3 linked regions of the Mytilus edulis genome follow. The protein of the gene in region 3 binds, or shares a complex with, the protein of the main gene of each other region. Links are inferred from orthologs where the notes say so. Each region holds a gene or a part of one and is shown on either strand. Other genes may lie near its edges.

The links.
Region 1: the proteins of NEDD8-activating enzyme E1 catalytic subunit-like (region 3) and NEDD8-activating enzyme E1 regulatory subunit-like are in contact, whole or in part, in a crystal structure (PDB 3DBR), measured with the Homo sapiens proteins. The link is inferred for Mytilus edulis from reciprocal best matches to the Homo sapiens genes UBA3 and NAE1. Residues at the interface, in NP_003959.3 of Homo sapiens: Trp34, Glu35, Gly36, Arg37, Trp38, Asn39, His40, Lys43, Phe44, Glu46, Arg47, Ser48, Gly49, Pro50, Phe51, Thr52, Phe56, Glu83, Lys86, Asn87, Leu90, Ser91, Val106, Ser107, Leu109, Asn110, Arg111, Phe113, Leu114, Arg116; in NP_003896.1 of Homo sapiens: Glu10, Gln11, Lys12, Tyr13, Asp14, Arg15, Gln16, Leu17, Arg18, Leu19, Trp20, Asp22, Glu44, Lys47, Asn48, Leu51, Pro52, Gly67, Glu68, Ala70, Gly71, Asn72, Asn73, Phe74, Phe75, Gln77, Arg78, Ile81, Phe92, Glu95.
Region 2: the proteins of NEDD8-activating enzyme E1 catalytic subunit-like (region 3) and NEDD8-conjugating enzyme Ubc12 are in contact, whole or in part, in a crystal structure (PDB 2NVU), measured with the Homo sapiens proteins. The link is inferred for Mytilus edulis from reciprocal best matches to the Homo sapiens genes UBA3 and UBE2M. Residues at the interface, in NP_003959.3 of Homo sapiens: His53, Pro54, Asp55, Glu61, Ser62, Phe65, Cys70, Gln149, Asn152, Asp153, Thr154, Arg157, Gln158, Phe159, His160, Ile170, Arg173, Trp174, Ser181, Leu182, Leu183, Asn184, Pro192, Ile195, Val196, Pro197, Leu214, Met217, Arg254, Met255; in NP_003960.1 of Homo sapiens: Lys3, Leu4, Phe5, Ser6, Leu7, Lys8, Gln9, Gln10, Lys11, Lys12, Glu15, Lys21, Gly22, Ser23, Ser24, Lys25, Lys26, Ala27, Gln31, Leu32, Gln35, Lys36, Ile38, Asn39, Glu40, Phe51, Ser52, Asp53, Pro54, Asp55.

What each region holds. Positions count from the first base shown.
Region 1 is NC_092348.1:12,789,657-12,796,927, forward strand, and holds the start of NEDD8-activating enzyme E1 regulatory subunit-like, read right to left. Parts: upstream 3,088-7,271; 5' UTR 3,041-3,087; coding exon 2,982-3,040; intron 145-2,981; coding exon 41-144; intron 1-40. UniProt on the Homo sapiens protein: Regulatory subunit of the dimeric UBA3-NAE1 E1 enzyme. E1 activates NEDD8 by first adenylating its C-terminal glycine residue with ATP, thereafter linking this residue to the side chain of the catalytic cysteine, yielding a NEDD8-UBA3 thioester and free AMP.
Region 2 is NC_092350.1:42,401,568-42,409,057, reverse strand, and holds the start of NEDD8-conjugating enzyme Ubc12, read right to left. Parts: upstream 3,100-7,490; 5' UTR 3,033-3,099; coding exon 2,924-3,032; intron 1-2,923.
Region 3 is NC_092344.1:23,144,497-23,152,250, forward strand, and holds the start of NEDD8-activating enzyme E1 catalytic subunit-like, read right to left. Parts: upstream 3,070-7,754; 5' UTR 2,944-3,069; intron 1,245-2,943; coding exon of another isoform or gene 717-1,244; intron 1-716. Other genes in the region: uncharacterized protein, read left to right, coding at 717-1,244; PRA1 family protein 2-like, read left to right, coding at 3,607-3,785. UniProt on the Homo sapiens protein: Catalytic subunit of the dimeric UBA3-NAE1 E1 enzyme. E1 activates NEDD8 by first adenylating its C-terminal glycine residue with ATP, thereafter linking this residue to the side chain of the catalytic cysteine, yielding a NEDD8-UBA3 thioester and free AMP.

The sequences.
Region 1 (7,271 bases), on a different chromosome or scaffold from region 3:
ACCTGGTCACTCATTAGAAAGAAGTTATTGATTACTTTACCTGGTAATATCATATTTTTAAGAATTTCTGTTCCTACAGCTGATACATTGACCAAACAGACACATGCTGACTCTAAGGCAGACTGTCCATGGTCTCCCCATAATCTACGAATAAAAAATATATATTAATTGGGAAAAGGAAAAGTTTATGAATGTTTATTAGAGATCTTATTCAAACCACGGTAACACACACAAATTGACATTACAAATTAGAATTTTAAAATTTATGCAGTCTCCACAATCTGAAATTTACTTCCAGAAATGTTTTTAAAGAACAACCATTTAACTTCAACAGGGATGGGAGGACGGGGGTATGTTTTTTTTCTTCCAAAAAAATATTCTTATCCCCAATTTGATGAAAAAAAGTATTCTGTTTAAGCAGATGACTAAATAAAATATGCTGAATGTAGAATATTGAACAAAATAATCTGGTTGAACTTGATAGCATTGTAAAACTAAATAAAATTGATCCCCCTTTGCACAATAAACAATTCTGACTAAGAATAAAAACCCAGTGATCGGGAAGGATGTGCACCATGCGCAAATTGTGCTTATCGACTAGAAATGGCACATAACAACAACAACAACAACAATACTTTATTTTAAGAGGGTTACACAGTTAGCTATATAACTAATCTTCCCTGAGGCCCTCATCATGAGAAATCAAACAAAATGCAAACATATACATTGCATACATTAGAATAAAAAGTCAAGTATGATAATAATGTTTAATACAACTTGATAAAATGTGATGAACAAACATAAACATGATGACATGATTAGTTTTTAATATTATTGATACACCTAGGTTGATTTCAATAAATGATCTGTTATTTTGTATTTGAAAGAATTAACATTTGTAATATTTCTTAACGGTATTGGCAAATTATTCCACAAGAATGATCCAGAATACATAAAAGATTTTTTGAACAATTCTGTTTTTGGTTTAGGGAGTATGAGGTTTCCTTGAAAATTCTATAAGCTGTATTGCTTTTGAATAAAAGACTATTATTATGAACAGCATTTCTCAAGGGGTATGGATTTCTGTCTGAAACATAATGAAACTTGTTAGTAAGATATGATGGGGCATCATTTTTAATGCACTTAAATGTCATCACTAACTTATGATATTTTATTCTCTGGCATTCAACTTTCATCCAGTTTAAATGTTTGAATAAGGGTGCAGAAGGAGCGAATGGGTCTGTTTCTAGTATTAACATAGAGTGACAAACAATAGCGCCCACATGGCGCACAATATTTTTCTCTTTGTTTTGAAACATTTAAACAACATGGCCCATTAATTCTAAAAATGGCCCTTTGTATTTATTTTTGGGGGGGCCCTGGGCCCATTGAGAAAAATCCTTCCAGATCACTGAAACCATAACACCCCAGGTCTTTGAAGTTGAGTGGTTGCTCCCATGTGATACAATGTTAACATTTTAACAAATATTTAAAGTATACACATGAATGTAGCTTGCTAAATACAAAATTTAGAAGTTAATGTTTGGAGTTCCTGGTAACTGTACTCTGTAGAATCAAAAAGACCGTAAGATCTAAAAGTACATGTAAGGCCAAACAGCTTGGGTATGAGGTTAATATCAAAGAAACATTCTCAGCTTAAAAAAAATACCTTTGGACCCCCTTTATTAAATACGAAAAAATCAAAATCCTTCGTGTATTTATAGTCAATTAAAATATTCACAATTCTAAACGGTTCTATCCTTCAATTTAAGTTCTTGATACATAAACTAATTTGTGTAAAAATTAATTTACCGTAAGACAGATAGATTTAAGCTCATTTCGTCGGTTTGTTATAATTTTTGCTGTTTAGCTTATTATATTAATACAAGCATTCCATAATAATATATATTTACGAAAATATTATCCCCATTTTAGTTGTCCAGTTTCAATAATGCAATCAATGACATTTATGACATATACATAAATTTAGAATACTTGAAAGTAAATATTCTTTTATTCAATCTCGATTAACTTTGCACATTTCAACAGTAAAAAAATCTATGCCTACATTTGCCTACATTATTTTGATAAACATCATGTGAAACCTGATCGATTCATCGGTTTTTATCTGTTTAACTCAGGATCCGCTTTTAACCGAAAAATACTTTTAGAACAGTTTAAAACAAACGGTAAAAAAGCAAAAATATGCTAAATTAAATACAATTTTCCATGTTAAACTGCTGTAGTTTGAACAATTCTCGTCCGTTATCACAGATAGTAACCAAAGGGGTCTTACCGCTGAGACTATAATTGGATAAAATCATATGACTTTAGTACAGGGCTCTACATGCCGTTAATACATGCTAATTACTCGATGTTATTCCTTTTAAATATTACTTCCATGGTCTGACCGAAGAAATGTCAGACAAAAAATCATTCGGTCAGACAGAAATTAAATTTTTTTTCTGTTGAACATATAGCAGAAAATGTCAAATTTCTTTTTCGGTCAGACAAACCATCATACAGTTTGGCACAGACTGTATGATAATTCAATTTTATAAGGAATGGTAGTATGTTTAACTGATGATATGGAATATTGATGGTACACTGCGAATGTCATCAAAGAAAGTTATAAATCTTCTGAAGTTTTTTTCGTACTGCCTGAGTGTCTCAGCATTTTTATAACAAACTTTACTTTATATGTTTTCTTTCAGCCCTCTCTTTCCAAGTCTCATAGTATATTTTATTTAATTTTTATAGACATTGCTATTGCATTTGAGATACTGGCCTTCTGAAAGCTAGACATCATCATGATCATTTCCTTCCATAAACATTAGTAAGAAACTAAGATGAATAAAATACTCATGTCCGTCCGTATCATTCTGACATGAATTAATCAAATGTCAGAAAACTATACAGTTAAAACTTAAAGTATATTATTCGTACAACCATTCTTCTTAAGTTATATTTAACATATTAACCTCAACTGCCTATCATATTTATTTTTCTTGTCGATAACAACTTTTTTGGTGTCTGCCATTTTCTGGTTTCTCCTGAGATCAATTACCGGCAGGGGACAGGAACGTAATAAAAACAGGGATGCAGTTATTAAAATTAAAAATTAAACATTAACGGAACAATAATGCAGACATTCCGGATATGAATTATCCTAAAGTTGCACTGGCTGACAAATTCATGTTTATCGAAACATTAACAATTACATAAATAGATTCCGACCTCATACAATTTTATATTATAGGTCTGTTTGATTTCATGTTGTAAAATAAACAAATATGTTATTTATCGTTTTTACTCGAAAAAAAATATGATTTTGTGTGGATCGAATCAGTCAACGAAATGGTTAACCTTTGTTTCACTTTCAATGTTGACATTCTTTTCCTTTAAATGAATGAACATAACTTGTGCATTTGTAACAAATCTCTAGCCAATGGGTTAAATTGAAGGTCACATGCATACGAGTTTATAAAGGTAGATTTACTCACTTGCAAGTGATTCATCAGCGATATTTCTTTGTGTAATTTAACAAAATTGAACCAAATTAGCTGCTAAAACGAATCATAATTTCGTTTTTTTTACTTTTATTAATGATTCAACCAAACGAAACCATATTCTATTTTTTCTTCATATACTACATATACTACATGTATATAAATAAATCCTTGACCACACGAAATGAATTTGTCTCATAGAACTTTGTAAGACTATACAAATCGGCCTCGTCCCACTATGCTTAAGTTATTCTCATAGTTATTCCTTTATTGAATACATTAAAAAAAAATAAGTTCTTCAAGACCAGGCCACCATGTACATTTGTATTACGAGTCCATGCAGCCACACTCCCACCAAAAATTAAATTGGGCCGTTCCATTTAAAATTAAAGAACCTTAGTGAGCACGCTCACATACCCCACGTCCCCACATTGTCATTGGAGAAATTAAATAAGTATAAGAAAAAAAAATTGTATAAGAAAAAATATTGAATAATAATTTCCTGTCAATATACACATCTACATAGTATGTCCTTATTATCTACAAAATTTCATGAAATTCTGTTGTGTTTTTCAGAGGAGTTGAGATGACAAACTGTTGCAGAAGTACCTTGAAGCAAATAAGTTCAAAGGGGCGTAACTCCTAGAAATAAAATTGAATCGTAATTTCCCGTCGATATGCACAACTACATAATATGTCCTTTTCATATAAAAAGATTTCGTGAAATTCTGTTGTGTGGTTTGAGAGGAGTTGCGATGACAAACTGTTGCAGTAGTACATTAAGTAAATAAGTTCAAAGGGGCGTAACTCCTAGAAAAAAAATTGAATCGCAATTTCCTGTCGATATGCACAACTACATAGTATGTCCTTATTATCTGAAAAGGTTTCGTGAAATTCTGTTGTGTGGTTTGAGAGGAGTTGCGATGACAAACTGTTGCAGTAGTACATTAAAGTAAATAAGTTCAAAGGGGCGTAACTCCCAGAAAAAAAATTGAATCGCAATTTCCTGTCGATATGCACAACTACATAGTATGTCCTTATTATCTGAAAAGGTTTCGTGAAATTCTGTTGTGTGGTTTGAGAGGAGTTGCGATGACAAACTGTTGCAGTAGTACATTAAAGTAAATAAGTTCAAAGGGGCGTAACTCCCAGAAAAAAAATTTAATCGCAATTTCCTGTCGATATGCACAACTACATAGTATGTCCTTATTATCTGAAAAGGTTTCGTGAAATTCTGTTGTGTGGTTTGAGAGGAGTTGCGATGACAAGAAACAGGACTGACGGACGGACGGACGGACGGACGGGTCAAAAACATTATACCCTCCGCAACTTCGTTGCGTGGGGTATAAAAACTGAATGCAAAGAAAATAAATCCCAAAAATTACTTATCATTTAACCAGAGACATATATGTGTACATATATGCTCTGATATAACTCGCAGACAACTAAACTGTTACTTGATTTCATTTTCTGCGAATTAGTAGGCGCATTGTAATAAAAGATAAGTTGATAATCACTAGTTTTTTTTTTTTTTTTTTTTTTTTTGTTTGAGTGATGCAAGAATTTTTTGCGTCAAACCGTCATGTTATTACTCTATCGCCCTTGGAGTTGTCCCATCGCGCTTGTTTCACCTCAAATTATCGGGACTTATTGATTTCTATAAAAATATCAACCAAATGTGTTGATCCCAAAATCTGTTCATATTATTGAAGAGGAACTTTGCCGATTTTTAAACACAATTCTGTGGAGAAATTTCGAAATATCACATTTTAAAGTGAAAACAAATTGATTTGTTCGATTTGTTTGGCTCTGAAAAGGAGATACATTGATTTTTTTTCTTTAAAGCTTAATGTTTATTGTACTTCAAACCCTTTTAAAAAAACTGGAAACGAAGGACTATGAGGACTATCTTAACCAAAGCTAAAATTCTTTTGGTTGTTAAGTTTTAAATTTAACCATTTTTAAAACATAATTTTTACATGATTTGAGTGAAACAAATACATCGAAAATTGCAATTGGCTGTTGAATAATTCCTTTGTAATAACATCGAAGATTATTGTTATTAATTGACACAGCAAGAAAGATAAGCAAACAGTTATCATGTTAACCCGCTGGTGTCATACAGATTCCAGATGTGCGCAACGGGGTAATCCCAGATCATTTTACTCTCCATAATTAGCATTACATTATTGGCAGCGGAAAGAGGCACACGCCATCTTATTCATTTTACAACCGGTGTAATATTTCCAGCGAAGATAGTAAGTTTAGTTTCTTAATCAATTTATTTCATAAATGATATATATATTTCAGCTTTAAAATTTATTCGATATTTGGTGTCTAATTCTATATCATGTTGCAAACTATCAAATTAAGATATCGTACATTATTTCATTGTAATACCCCCTTTTCTTCGTGGAAACTAAAATAAAAAAAGGTAAGAATGCAAAAGTCAGTCTGGCATATCATCTTTCACGTTGAATACCTTACCATGCTTACCCTATGCTATTAACCTATAACTTTATTAAAAACGATGTTGATGATGTTCATGTAGAAGGATAGGCATATTTTTATTTTTGGCACACAGTTTGAGTTATTTGCACACGCGTATTCTATTTATAATTACGAGTATGAAATAAGATCATGTGCACTAAAACATACGTGCTCCAAGAATCTAAGACATTTTGTTTTCTTTTTATATAGTTTCAGGTATGATTAGATCATTTTATGATAATAATATCAGCAGGTTATGACATTATGAAAAACTATATCTGTACATAAAAAATATCACAAATTGATAACATGTTTTATATGTTTACCATTGTCTGTATTCATTCATATACGTCCCAAAATTGGTTTCTGTTCTCAAAACCCCTTGCAACCGGAAACAGTGCTAAAGGAGTAGGCCCGATAAGACACCTTTTTGCTCCAAGCGTTTTTACAAAATTGTTAAATTGTAAAATATGACTTATTTATTGGAAAGTGAAATACTGTTTTTTATAATAATGGACACACGGTAGGTACTAGCGTCATTATTCCATGCAAACAACTTCATAATTTACACATTTGTGTTAATTTTAAGACTATTTTTGTGGTCGCACTTGTGTTCAGTCTTAATATTTAAATATATGTTGTATAATATTGAATGCTAACACACAACATATATAAATGTTGAGGGATAACACGAATGAACTTCCACTTTAAACAAAAATCGTCTGAAGGTGAGGTTAAATGGCATATTTGATGGATTTTTCTTATTCAAGCTTAAATTTGAGCATATTATGACCAAGTATGTCCAAATCTTTTACAATAACCAATTGAATCGAATTTAGAAGACACTTAAAAGTGTTTGAAAAATGTAAAACAATCTTTCATCAGACCTACTTCGAATTTTTGTCCAAAATAAGCCCTTACCGGACTTTTTCCTTTTTCATTTCCGTTCAACAACTTTAAAAGTTTTCCTCGACTAAATGTTATAAATCTTATAGACAATGCTTGTTACCGCAAAACAGTTAAATTTAGATAAAGTTATGCCCCTTTTTAATTGTAAAAATGCTGAATATTTTGTATCCTTTTTATTCGACAGCAAATAATTTTTGCGGTCGTATATACAAAAAATTGCGGTCGTATATTGGTATGACATTGGTTTTCGCACTATAACTTTAGTTTAAGTAAATAGAAAACTATGAAATTTAAACACAAGTTAATGACCACAAAATGAAGTTTGTGATTGATTTTTGGAGTTTTGATCCCAACAGTTAAGAA
Region 2 (7,490 bases), on a different chromosome or scaffold from region 3:
ATTGGCCCACGGATTCCATAAGCGGCCATTTTTGATAGCAGTTTCTTATGGGGTACTGTGTCAAAAGCTTTTGAGAAGTTTAGTATGGCAATATAGGTTTGAAGTACTTGGGTTTCGCATAAGTAACCTGATCTAAAACCATGGTTTAAAGATGTTAACACAGTATGCTTTTCTAGATGTTTCATTATATGCCTGCATATTATATGTTCCAGGATCTTACATGGTACTGATGTCAACGATACAGGTCTGTAATTTTCAGCAGCGTGTTTATCGCCTTTTTTTTTAAACGCATGATACATGTATGTTTGCGTTTAGCCAGTCTTGAGGAAGGGTTGCAGTGTCTATAGATTTTTGGAAGATTGCTGTCAGTTCTGGTGTAATTTGACTTGCACATTCTTTCAAAATTCTGTTTGAGAATCCATCCGGTACAGAAGCTTTTGATGGGTTGACATCTTTTAGCAGTTTTTCTAGTCCCTTTTCTGTTATTATGAGGTTTGGTATGGTTTCCTTAATATGCTTTGTTGTGTCTGGTATTGTTGTGGCTTTATCTATTGTGAAAACTGATTTGAATAGCTGTATTAGTATTTCAGCTTTCCCTTTACTGTCGCTGATGAGTTTCCCTTTGTTTTTTGATGGGGCTACTCAACATGCTCAAATGTTGTCATTTTTTCTGGATTTGTTGTATTTCTGGAATGGCTTGGTGTTGTTTGATTCTAGGCCCTTTAGTATGGTGTTGTTGATATATGACCATTCAGCTTTTCTTATTTGGCTTTTGATTTCTTTTTGTAATTTGACCATTTTTTTGTTCTTTTAGCTTGTTGCAATGTTGGTATAATCAGCTTTTCTTTTTGAACATTTTCCTTATTTTGAGTGTTATCCAGGGAAGGCTGTTTTTTGAGCGGATTCTTTGGCTGGTATATGTTTGTCCATGCTTTGGAATAGTTCTTTCTTGAACGTGTCACTCATTTCTTGGACATTTGAACCTTGTTTGTACATCTGTTTAATTCTTGTTGATGTTTTGGAGATGTCTTCATATGCAACGTCATCATGCATGGTCACTTTTTTTCCTGACGTCATAATAGAAAAATTCAGAAGAAAACAAAACATTTTGACATCATAATCACATTTCGACTTATCATTTACCGAAAACGGATATCTCACTAGTGAGGAAAAATATTTTTCTCACACCGATCAAAATAGCACAAAAATTAGAGAAATGTTAATATGGGGACGAAGTCCCCAATTACGGTAGAAAAATCAATTATTAAAAAAAAAAAAAAAAAAAAATCGGGAAAATTTCCCGAATTTTTCATTCTACTAATGAACTCAAAATCGTTAACTTTTTTTTTCAGATCTAGTTCCTGTTCCGGTTTTCCCCGCTTTGCGCAGAAATCTGTCTTGTTTGCATGAGACTTTGAAAAGAAAATTATATGTATCAGTCTAGTAAAATATAAGATTGGAACTCAATACAATTTCATTTTTAATAATTGTTTGATTTTATTATTATTGATTTTAAATTAGTATTAGATTATGTAAGCAGAATTGAAAACAAAACATTAATTGAAGAAGTAAAAATATTTTCGGACAGTCAAACAGCAATTGGAATCTTAACATTAAATTGGAAAATTGAAAATAACAGATCCACTTCACATGAAATTATTTCCCTTATTAAATGTATCCAAAAACACCATGGAATAAGAATTAATTTTGATTGGACCCCAGGACATGCAGATGTTAGAGGAAATGAAATAGCTGATAAACTAGCTAAAGAGGCAGCTAAAGAGGCAAATCAAATTCAGAAAGAAGCCCATATTACAGTAACTAAACAAGATATTAAAACAGCAGCAAGAATTTTAGTAAATAAAAAGTGGCAACATAGATGGGATAATAGTGATACAGGAAGATTTTATTATAACTTTCATCAGACTGTCAGCAATAAATCGACATTTAATTATCCAGATCACAAAACAGCAAAAATTATTAGAAATTTAAGATCCGGATACTACCTAAAAAATTATCAAAACAAAATCAATCAAAATATAGACCCAAAGTGTGAATGCGGTCAATTAGAAACTGTGGAACATTATTTACTATTTTGTGAAAATTATGAAGAGGCAAGACAGAAACTTATACATGAGATATACTTCAACACAGGATCGTTACATATTGATTTGGAACTTTTATTGTCAATAGAAAAAAACGACAATGTCTCCGTCTCTAATGAAACACTAATGCGATTGTTGGGTGACTTTATTTGCGAGTCGCGCCGGTTTGATTAATGTAATGTTAGATTTTTTTTATTTTTTTTTTCTTTCTTTTCCTTTAAATTTTCATGTTAATTAATAAATGTAGATATATTTTTTAATTTTTGGAAAAAATATGTTAAGCACAGTTGCCACCTAATAGTATGTATTTTAAAGTACAAGTGAGTTGTTTACCAGAGTGAAATATTAATACACGCGAGATTTAAATAATTACAAGGGAGACAATCCAGTGTCAACAGCGACACCTACAGAATACAGAATACAGTTTGATTTGAAAAAAACGTTACCTGATGGAAGCGTTTCTTTTGTTTACATTGAATATGACGTCATAACTTAAACAACGTCACAGCTAAATCCCTAACCACAGAACCGAAATCGGGAACGTTACGGTATTTCAGTTTCCTTTATTAACATGTTTGAGGTAAAAAAAAAAAATAATACATACAGACTTCGTCCCCATTCACAGGTTATGCCTGCCTCATATTATTCCATGAAATACCAAAATGGTCAGGGTACTAAGTGGTTTCTGTCAGGGTAAGAAATGGGAGTACGAAAGGTTAAGGGTACAAAATGACTTTAATTCCCTCTTTATGGCATTACTCAAATCAATGGAATGTGATAAATTCGTTGAATTTCTCAGACACTATTTCTGATTTCACCTTTCTGTATTCTCAACTGTGCAGCTGATGCTTTTTTCTGTGTTCCTGATTTTTCTCCACCATCGGTACCGTCTTTTTTCGCCTGTTTTAGTGAAAACAACTTAATCATTTTGGTCTTCTGTTTTTTTTTTTTATTGTGAAAGTACCCAGTGCGTAATAAAGCACTTCCGCTTAAAATTTCGTATGATTATCTTATTGGCGAAAGATAAAAAAAATACTGACAGGCTTCAAATTAAAAATAATTCGTACATTTTTCCTATTTGTCAAATAAAAAATAAAAAATATCCGAAGACAAATTATATTCTAAATTTTGACTTTTACACCGACTTCCGGTAAACTTCATTCCTTCCTTGGCAGCGAAAGGTAAACCTATTTTGTTACTACTATTTCCTTGCTAGAGAATTACGACGCAAATGTCATTCATGTTTTGTTAAATAAAACAATTAATCAGACCACAATGTTTTAAAATAAGTAATCTTTACCTTTCAAAGATTAGCCGATCAAGTTTTATGAACATGTAAATTTCTGTTATTTTAACCTGGTAACACTATAACAGTAAATAATTTAGTGAGTAAAGTTTGATTGAGGTAGGAATTGACTCTACACTCCAGCGTCAAAGGTTATTTTTGGCTACCGTTAGCTTCAAATTGATGTCAGAATATCCTAAATATCGAGATTCCTTAGACATTTCAAACTACATCTACATTTACGACGATCCATCAGCACATTGATGACTATACGTCGGCGAATTGTAAACAGACATGCACTTAATAAAATATAATAACTAATGAATGCAATAATTAAAAAATAATTTTGTGCAAAAACAAAACAAATTAACACATTTACATATTTACAAACAGGTTCATGGATATCTAAATATACTGACTCTGCCAGTCTCTGGATCAGTATTTTAAACTGATCCAGGGAGTTAACACTGATAACGTTTTGTGGAAGTGCAGGGTTCGAAATAAGCGCTATCCCATTTGCCCGAGGCAAGTAAAATCTGCAGCGGGCAAGTGAATCTCATCACATAGTTGTCCGCCGGGCAAGTTGAAATTTTGTGTTTGCGTTTCATTCTATCATGTCAATTAATATAATAATATATGCAATAGGTCTTAACCATTTATTGTTAATGAATTTGTGCCAATAAAATATTTGTATAACTATGTCAGACGTAATTTTGTACGATGTACAACTGTGTATTATTGTATTACTATTTTCGCCCTCTTTATTTATTTCATATGCGCATGCCAGGAAAATCGTAAACATCGTAGTTTGTCCCGAATAATTCTATTGGTCAATTCCTATGCGTAAGCCAATGAGCGCCGTCGTTTTAGAATGTTCAGTCGCACCTGCTCGGGGATTTCCGCTACTAATTGTGAAAGGAAGTCGATACAATGATCCAATCAGAACGCGTTTTGCAAACGACTTTTGAGTTGATTTAAAAATGAAAGTAGAAAGAAACAAATGGAAAACTTTTTAGTAAATTATGTCCCCCCTTTAAAAAAACTTAAAGAATCCAACGTCAACAGGGTTGAGCAACAAAAAAAATATGAAGAGGGAAAAAGAAAACGTAAATTTTTAACAAAATGGCTGGATGAATTTAAATGGCTGAAAGACACAGAAAAGGGGATGACATGTGAGGTTTGCGTTCAGTTTGGAAGTAGTGGCAGTTTTGTAATAGGATGTACAAATTATAAAAAGGACAATATACATGCTCACGAAAAGTCAGACATACATAATTAAATTAAAATATTCTCATCCACTTCTATCTTAAATTCTTTACCTTTATAGCTGAGCATACTAAATGTGCTCATTTCTGCAGTGAACAATTACCTATTGTTATTTGAATTTGTCAGTTAGTTACATAAAGAGTATTAAAGACCAGATGCACCTAATTCACTAGGAACAACAACAGCAGCAAACATTCAGAGGTCACCACAAGGTCTTCAACAGGCTGACTCTCTTTACAAAATTAAAGGTTTCAAATTCATTCAATGTAGAAACAAGCTCTTATAGTATTGCTGTAAAATGTAAAATAAATTATAATTGCATTGTTTAGAATGAAGCATATTTTTTACAGGAAATTTGACAATTGGGTCAGTTTCTACATGTACATCTGAAATTTTTTTGTCACTTTTTTTTGTAAAAGTAAAAGTTTTTGTTTAAAAAAGGGTGTATAGAAACTTGAAATCATCTGCCAGGAGAGGTCTAGAATGCAGGATTTGGCACCATTTACCCCAGACCCCTCGCCGTAAGTGCGCCGAGCTATGCTCGTTAGTCGGGCAAGTTAACAGATACAAGGGCAAGTTAATATACATATTGACTTGCAAGTCAATGGTCTTTTCTTATTTCTACCCCTGGAAGTGAGTTCTAAAGTACAACTGTGAATGGAAAAAAGCTGTACTTCAAGTAATCTGTTCTTGTGCTAAATGTTTGGTACATGTATTGTAATGAATTAGTGAATGTGGTGTTATTGACTGGCTGTGGTAAAAGGTAAAAGTTTGGATCTACTGCAATGAGATGGTGTGAGATTTTGTACAGCATAGTTACTCGCTTGATGTGTCTGCGAGTTTCAAATGACTTCCATTGAAGATGGTCAATCATGGAAGTTACACTACTGGTGTTGGGGTACCTGTTGGTGACGTAGCATGCTGCCCTTCTTTGTACTTTTTCAATGTTGTTTTTTTGTTTTTGGGTGTGAGGTGACCAAACTGAAGAGCAGTATTCTAAATTCGAACATACCAAGGATTTGGTAAAATCTCATGTGTGAGTTCGTGGTCTAGTGGTTAAGACCGATGGCTACAGTGCTGAAGGTCCCGAGTTCAATTCTCACTCGGGGTGCTAAAAATATCAGTACATCAGAAGGGTAATTTTCACCCTCTCACACACATCTCTGGTACCCACACCGGAGTTTAAACTAGAATGGGTACTTTGGGGGCCTCGGTTGGTCAAAGTTGTCCCCTACTTTGACCTGGAGATCAATCTTCTGATATCTCTCTGGTTTGTCTGTTTCCACTGAGTGGCCCGGTGGTTCTCTTCGAGTACTTCAGCTTCCTTCACCATAATAACAGACTTCCCGGTGTCCTACACGCTCCCTTGGGCGGTGTTGGGTGGGGATTGTTCTGGTGGTGGGATAATATTGTAAAGGACACATCTCCATTAATCCTTAGGGAATTTACATGGATCCGCTGTACCCTTGCAGTCAATCAAGGGGTGCGTCTAAATTGGCGGAATCTCGAGTACATACATACATTAGGCAAAAAAAAAAATTCACTCTGTTTACAGTTACCCGACCGACCCTAAGCCATTTTATTTCCGTCGTAAAGTGAAAAATTAATAGAACTTGTGTCAAAAGCAAAGTAAGGATTGCCAATAAATTTAATCAATTGCCTGGTACATCCCAATGTTCACAATCGTGAAATTCTGAATATGACAGCTGTTTTAAGTTAAGGAAACTCGCAACTCGTGTAATGAAATAAAAACTTTGCCGCCTTTTTTTCTCCAACCAATACATACAATAACAAAAGGAAATAATTCAATCATTAAAAATACAGGTTAACTGAGCCCATGGACAACTCAAACCACCTTAAGACGGACCACACAACTCAAAATCATGGCGTAAAAAATAAAATGATAAAAAATAATAAAATGGAAATACCGACCTACCTACCCTATTTATTTTGATGATGTAACCTTAAACAGACATATATTTTTTTTTGGTCTTACCTTATTTTTGTGGTAAAAAATTAACTGGATTTCTTGAAATCAGTCAATTTTTTATTGTTTAAAAGAAATTGTACATTTTACCATCATGTATTAAAATTTACCATTACATGTAACATCATTCCAACATTAATTGAGGATTGTCGATTTTCTGTTTGATGGTCTGTGGTTTTCTTCAGGCACTCCAGCTTTCTCCACCTATACGCCACAAATGAGTCCGAAAGTGGCGCTTAAAAGTGGTGTTAAAATACCAACAATCAATCAATTAATCTTAATTGCCACAGAATCAGAGACAGGGGGATTACTATCTTGTAGCAGCATCAGTATGAAGGTAAAATACCTGGATGCTTCATACTTTGTATGCCATGTATGCAAATCCTTCATGTTACATAAAGGATTTGTTGATCTGAAATGGCGTTAAAACACCACCAATCAATCAATTAATCTTAATTGCCACAGAATCAGAGACAGGGGGATTACTATCTTGTAGCAGCATCAGTATGAAGGTAAAATACCTGGATGCTTCATACTTTGTATGCCATGTATGCAAATCCTTTATGTTACATAAAGGATTTGTTGATCTGTAATGGCATTAAAACACCACCAATCAATCAATTATTCTAATGCAACAACGTTTGTAACTTTCATTTTGATTGGATAACATCACTTTCTTACATGGCATCAATTGACAATTGATGCTATGGGACGTATGCGCAAGCGCAGACGGCATATGACAGATTTTAAATAAATGATTTAACGTTGTTTTCTGTCAGTTTCATTAGAATGGAAATAACAATATTGTATTTTAAGCTCCGACGGCATCAATTTTAGATTTTATGGT
Region 3 (7,754 bases):
AAAACAGGGGGGTTCAATTTACCATGGGGGTTCAATTTTCCATACAGGGGGGGTTCAATTTACCATGGGGGGGTTCAATTTACCATAGCGGTATTTTGACCCCGGGGTCAATTTACCATGGGGTTCAAAATACCATATGACACCGGCATAGTCTATGGTCCGCAAATATAAAAAATCATCAAAAAGACCTTAGGAGGGTATCAGGTCCGTTTGCGCCCAATATACTTTCGCACCCTACACGTTCGCACCTCGCACGTACGCACCCAAGGTCCGTTCGCTCTCTACACGTTCACGCCCAATTTTAATTCAAATTCCAGTTGAATAATTGGAAAATCATAGATTGTTGTTTTTAATTGCTTTCGTGTAAATACTGAATATATTTATAGCTTGGTATGAGTAAAAGATTGAAGATTCTGAAACAATAAAATATAGCAATACACTATTATAACCAAAACATGATAAAATTTATTCAACACACACAAAAAAAAAAAAACGTAGTCAGAATCTCACTTCATTTTGAATCAAGTCAATGAAACAAAGTTACAGCAATACACTAACCAAAACATGATTAAGAGTTATTCAACACAAAATTAAACGTTGACAGAATCCCACTTTATTTAGAAAGGAATATCATTTTTATCACAATACACTATCCAAAACATGATTAAGATTTATTTAACACAAAAAAAAATGCTGTCTCACTTTATTTTGAGACAATGAAAACAATAATACTTATAAGAACTATAAAAATTGAAGAACCATCAGAAGTAACCAGGCAGGATATAAAACGTGCAGCAAGAGAAAGTGTTTTAAGAAAATGGCAGAACCAATGGGAATCAAGTCAACGTGGCAGAAATTATTATAACTATCATCAAAAAGTTTGTCAAAAAATACCAAAAGATTTACCATCCAAATGGTCGTTTTCAATTATTACTAGTTTGAGAACAGGTTATTGTGATCTAAATGATTACAAATCCAAAATCATACCATCAACAGACAAAAATTGTTCCTGTGGAGAGCCAGAAACTGTAGAACACTACCTTTTACATTGTTCTAACTATGAGGAGGCTAGAGAGAGGATGAGAACATCTATTTACTTCATAACAGGAAATATACATATGGATTTAGACACCTTTCTAGGAATCGATGAAGAAGACATTAATAGAGACAATCGAAATGAGATATTGTGCCATCTGGAAAATTATTTAACGGAGTCTGGTAGATTCAAAAACACTATACAGTAAAAAACACTATAATTCTAAATCAAAATTAAGTCAAAATTTTTTAAGCAGCAGCCACCATTTCAATTAATTACATGAGTGAACATTACATATGCAGGGCCGTAACTACATTGAGGCAAATGAGGCAAATGCCTCATGTTTGAAATTTAAAAAAAAACCAAAAAAAAAACAACCTGAAACAAAAAGATTGTCAAATTGTTTTGACGGAAAGTGTCAGTCTTGCAAGAAGCCAGTTCTCTTCACTATCTGGTGTAGCCCTTCATGTTTTTCGTGATCCATGTTTCTATTTTACGTTTAGTTATCAGAGTTGATGGTCTATTATTGTGTGTACTTCTATGTCCCGTGTTTGTCTTTTGTTAATTTATTGTCCTACTTAATGACTATAGTCTGAGTGTTGATTTCATTTGTAAACGTGTAGTTTTGCAATGTTGCATGCCAACCGATGTCCAGACAATGTGCGAGAAATTTTAAGAATATATGATGCTACAAGACACAGAAATGAATCTTTGTTTCTGCATGGAGAATTGAACTTGAAATCAAAGAGAACAAAACTGGCTTTTTTCGTAGATAAAACTAGAAAGCTGACATGGTTGAAATTGAAATATGGTTACCAATTCCACGGTATCAAAAAAATTGAAAAAAAAACAACAGCAATGTATTGCCATATGACCTTTTACATTGAAGGGTTACCCTTGCATTAAGTCATGTTCAGACTCTTTTAAGAGAAAAAAAGGAATATTGAGTACACGTGCACGGAACCTAATCGCACACAATGTCAATGTATAGAAAAATACGAATGATCAATTGTTAAAGTTTAATTCCTGTTCTTTATCTTGATAGTTGCTGGATGGTCTCCAACAATAAAAGAATCATTAAAATCGTAAAACAAGATCAAGATGGTCCCTAGTGTCGACTTTAACAGTACTAGTACTTAAAGTATAATACTGCACTGTCACTATATTTAAATCTAGTCATAAAAAAATCACCAAAGTCTAAGTACAATACAAGACAGACAGATTCGGTATTAAGGATTATGAGAATTACGATTTTTGCTTTATTCATCATATATATATCGATCTTTTTTTAATGTTATCCCTAAAACCTGAAAGTCTTAAAATACAATGATTTTTTGTTATTGCTATGAGACCAGAATATTGTTGAAAAAATAGCTCAGAATGCACGATTTTGCATTATTTTTCTCAGAGCGTCTGGGGGCCTTCAGCGCCCCCCCGACTCCTAGCCAAAAATTTTTCGCCTCGCTACGCTCGGCGAATGTTTTGCCTCACTTGTAAAAGAGGCTAGTTACGCCCTGATATGTGAAGAAACTACAAAAGAGGAAACGTAAACAAGTGTTTACAGTGTCATTTGGGACACTTACTAAAGACTAAAGATTGTACTTGCCAAAACTTGATTACAAAGTTATTAAACACAAAACTAATTAAAATTGGGCGCGAACATGTAGGGTGCGAACGGACTTTGGGTGCGAACATGTAGGGTGCGAAAGTGAAAAGGGGCGAACATGAGTGGGTGCGAACGTGAATGGGTGCGAACGGACCCGGATTCCCTTAAGAGCAACATAGCTAATTCCAGATCAAAGATAGGTGCAACTTTGAAAAGAAAGCTGAAAATATCAGATTAGGAAAGAATACAGGATATCTTGTTCCCTAGAAAAAGCTATATCTGCTTCGTATTTCACATGTACCTGTTTTTTCGTTTTCTCTGTTTTTATGATTCTTTTACCGGTTGTTGTTACTTGTTTTCTTGAATGTCATAACAAAGATCGAGGTGTTTCAAACGTTAATATCATTCGGATGCTATTATTGACAAGTAGCTCACACGATTTCAGAAGTGGCTACATCGGATGTCATCAGTAGTAGTACAAAGTTAATAAAAAAAATTGAAACAAAATTTAACCACAACGTACATAAATTTAGGCACTATACAGTTGCGTTCCAGTACTATAATTAAGCTTGATTTGAAATAAAAATTATCATAATATATTTATTTTGATCTAGTATTTATTGTGTAGTTATGTTTTGTAAGAGAACCGTTTTATCATTTTGTTAATTTTTGAAAAGTTGTAGCGTTTTGTTATTTGAAATGCTGTACAAGAATTTGTTGTGCAGTATTTGATTCTATATGGATACAATCTCAAAGTGTATAGTTTTTTAAATTGTTGCTTATATCATAACAAACAAATTAAAAAAATATATATATTCATATTTGCTTAATAAAAAAAATTCAAGCCTTTTGTTTATTTATTTTTAAAAATATTTGTACAAAAATAAAATAAACATAACATGTATTTCACCATTTGTATCAGTGTTGATATTTTAAAGCTCCAAGCGGCCTCTAAATTGACAGCATGGCTGAAGTACAGATTGCTCCTCTCCGTTCCATGAGTGATTTTGTATTGGACTCTGCTAGATTTCAAGTTCCTAACATCAAAGACGCAGAGAAATGGGCGAACAGAGTTCTGAACAATCTATTGTATTACCAGACGAATTATTTTCTGGTAGCTTTGATCGTCTTTTTATTGATTGGGTATGCATACAAAATCATTTAAAAAAAATATTTGTGAAACCGGTTATACTTTTCACCTTTTATATTTGTTTCAACTGATATTTGTATTGTCTTTAAACATGCGATCCAGCGTCTTAAGAAGACTTAACTTGTTAACCAGTCAGGGACTTACTTAAAAGTGATTTTCTAAATCACTGATTCAAGTAAATTGAGTAACAAAAAAAAAAACTAACATTACATTGTATGTCCACAAAGGTTGGAAGTAAGAGTTGTCTTTCTTTAATTATCACCTTTTTCAAGAAGTTCAAATAATCACTACACTACATGGTTTAATCTCATTCAGGGGTTTCATGATCTTTCATGTCGACTGGTACTTTCCCAAGGATCTCCATGGCCTGTTTAACGATGGCGCCCCACCATCGTTCAAATGTCTTGCGCCACTGTCAAATGACTCGCGCCATCGTTATATTGTCTTGCGCCATCGTTAAAATGTCTTCCGCCGTCTTTCAAAACTTCATCGTTTTTTTGTAGCCAGACGCCATTTTTTTATCAATTATAATCAAATGCATGTAATTGCATAACCCTTAGGCTTTTTATGTTATAATCCAATACAGTTCTAACGCCTGAGGGATATCTGGATTAAGATCGCTAATCACTTGTAATGTAACTGAGCTTGTACAGGTACATGTAGATCAACAAACCAGACAGGAGAATACTATCTGAGGATAGACGATCCATTTGTCGAATTAATCAACTAAGTTGCAGCAAATGATTATGATAATTTAGATTAAATAAATAAATTAATAATCCAGTTACAAAGAAAACAGTTTAAAAAGTCGAACACATGCTTTATTTTGACTTACGCAATCAGCATCCCTCTTTTTTAAGAAGTACAAAATAAGACGCAAAACAGTGAATATTATTTCATCGTAAATAACTCGAGTACTGCTGTAACAACAATTTAGAATTACAAGTTTAAAAGTAAAAACTTAAATATTTCCTGTGAAGAAATATCGTATCGCAATTCAGAATTCATTTCGTTTATTACAATCAAATTGATACATACGCGTTTCCGGTTTCTATTCAGATTCGAAAGATGCATGTTTCACAGCATCAATTTGCCAGATAAAGTCATTAAAAACCTTAACATTTGTCAACGTTTGCTTTACAAATCTCTTTAACTCTTAACATAACCCGTACGAACCGTTTTGTTAATTTGTTGCTGCAAATCAGCCATACCGGTAATGGGTTCTGAATTTGACAGTGTCCATGAAAAATAAGCTCCACATCATATGATTTTTAGCCCCCATAACAATTACCAAAAATACAAGAAATCTACATGGGGACCTTCATGACAGCTTTTGGTCATTCTCGACTAAGGGGGGACCATGAAGACTTGGCATTTGAATGGTTAAAAACGGCAATGAATGAAAATATTGATACTTCTAATTCTATAATGAAAGTTCAAATAAATCTATACTATTAAACGAGAAGACCTCATTTTGGGTGTCGCTTCTCTTCCTTCCACAATAAATCAATCATCATGCCTCTGTGTCCTATAGGTAACATGCATAGTCGCATTTGTCATCCATTCTTATGATTATTCAGATTGAGTTATTTTGGGAGAAAAACGACAAAAAAGGAGTCCGGATATGATTCCGTCATCAGACTGACTTTTAGTCATAGATAAGACTTCCGGTTTGAAACATGCACAAACACAACCAATCTTATGATAGATAACAAAAAATGAAAAATAAATAAGCCTATCAAATCGTTCTCCATGTCATGGTGTTTAGATCGCAAGAACCACAACTATTATAATACCTCCTTATAGAGGACAATTATTTTTCGCGTTTATCTACATGTAAACTACAATTATACTACTTTAATATATAGAGACTCTCTGTATTCTGTCTACTGTTTTTCTTTCAATTGTTTACTATTTAAGGGGTCATACCAGTTGCATCTATACTATTAAACGAGAAGACCTCATTTTGGGTGTCGCTTCTCTTCTTTCCACAATAAATTAATCAACACGCCTCTGTGTCCTATAGGTACAGTGCATAGTCGCATTTGTCATCCATTCATATGATTATTCAGATTGAGTTATTTTGGGAGAAAAACGAGAAAAAAGGCATCCGGATAATGTCCCGTCATTGGACGAAATTTTAAGTCAGATTAGACTTCCGGTTTGTGTTTTTCTGTATACATGTACTTTGAACAAATATACAAAGAATAAAGTGTATTTTCAGAATTCTATCTGCTATCATTTTCAAGTTTACTATCTACGGCGATCACAGAGTTTATTAAAAAATAATAATAATAAATAGAGAGGGTCTGTATACTCACGTGTGTTTACTATACCAATGACCACCATGAATCGATTAGTAAACTTAGAATTGAAAGTAAATAAACTATATTTATATAGTTACTGTAATGAATGTTCATAATATACAGATAAGCGCTATAAATATTCATGTGAACTTTTGATACCTTTTCTAAAATTCTCCAGTCATTAAATCTTTTACAAAATTCATTGATTACAAAAGAAAAAGAAGATGTGGTATAATTGCCATGTTGAGACAACTCTAGATAATCGCTAAAAATATTCATGTGAACTTTTGATACCTTTTCTAAAATTCTCCAGTCATTAAATCTTTTCATTGATTACAAAAAAAAAAGAAGATGTGGTATGATTGCCATGTTGAGACAGCTCTCCACAAGAGACCAATATGACACAGAAATTAACAACTATAGGTCACCGTACGACCTTCAACAACGGGCCTTATTTGTGCACAAAAAATGAACGAAAAACGAATATGTAACACATAAACAAACGACAACCACTGAATTACAGGCTCCTTACTTAAATGTTCATAACATACTAAATGTATGTTCATATTGAAATTGATAGAAAACCAAAAATTGGGAATTTTGGAAATAATGACTTATGATACTTTTGCTGAAATTCTCCAGTCATTCAATATTTTACAAAATTCTTCCAAAAAACACTTTACATACTTTAAACTACGCTCTGAATGACCGCGATTTCGCGGGTGTGTTCTAGTATAATTTAAATAAGCAATGAATTAGCATGTTCACCATTCCTTGTATGGAGGGATAAAATACTTCCGATCGCGCTACACTGTACAACGTAGACACGGTTTGTAATGGTGAAAGTTCCTCCATCGTTCAATTTTCATCCATGGAGATCCCTGCTTTCCACGTTTCTAGGTGATACTTTTCAATTTATTCCATGAATATCTTATATAAAAATTCCTACATTTAGGCGGTACTTGTCAATAGCATAGGAGGGTAAAAGTACCGGGTACCGCCTCCTAATGAATGGCCTGCTCATTGTAGCTTTAAATATGCAATACAGCAATAGACTCCAACTGATCGGATATCGGCTATTGTAATATTATTTCCACATGTTCAAAACATCAAACCCTTCCCTATATGTTTAATGTTAATTTTATCGTGTAATCAAATATCGGATGTAAAAATATATCGGCAAATAGGATAAGAGTATTCAGGAAATTTTTGTCACAATTTTACAACAAAAATGAGATGAAAGACATACATGTATGATTTTTATTGTATTTATTGAAAGATAATATGTAAACAGTTTCAGAATAGTTATGACTTCAAATTCTACTTTTTGGCCAAATTTTTGTGGCATCTTTTCCCCCTTTTTATACGACCCCAAAAATTTAAAACAAAATGGTCATATATTAGTATCACGTTGTTGTCGTTGTCAGCGTGTCTGAGATAGATGGTTTCCTGATAATGACTTAATAAGTATAATAAGTAAATAGAAATCAATAAAATTTTATCACAATGTTTAACCACATAAGGAAGGTTGGGATTGATTTTGGGGGTTTTGGTCCCAAAGCAGGGTTGGCAAAAACCCGGGTTTTATGAGTATTGCCCAGCCCAGTGGGTAATACTGGGAAAACCCGGGTTTTACTGGGTCTTAGTGGGTAATAC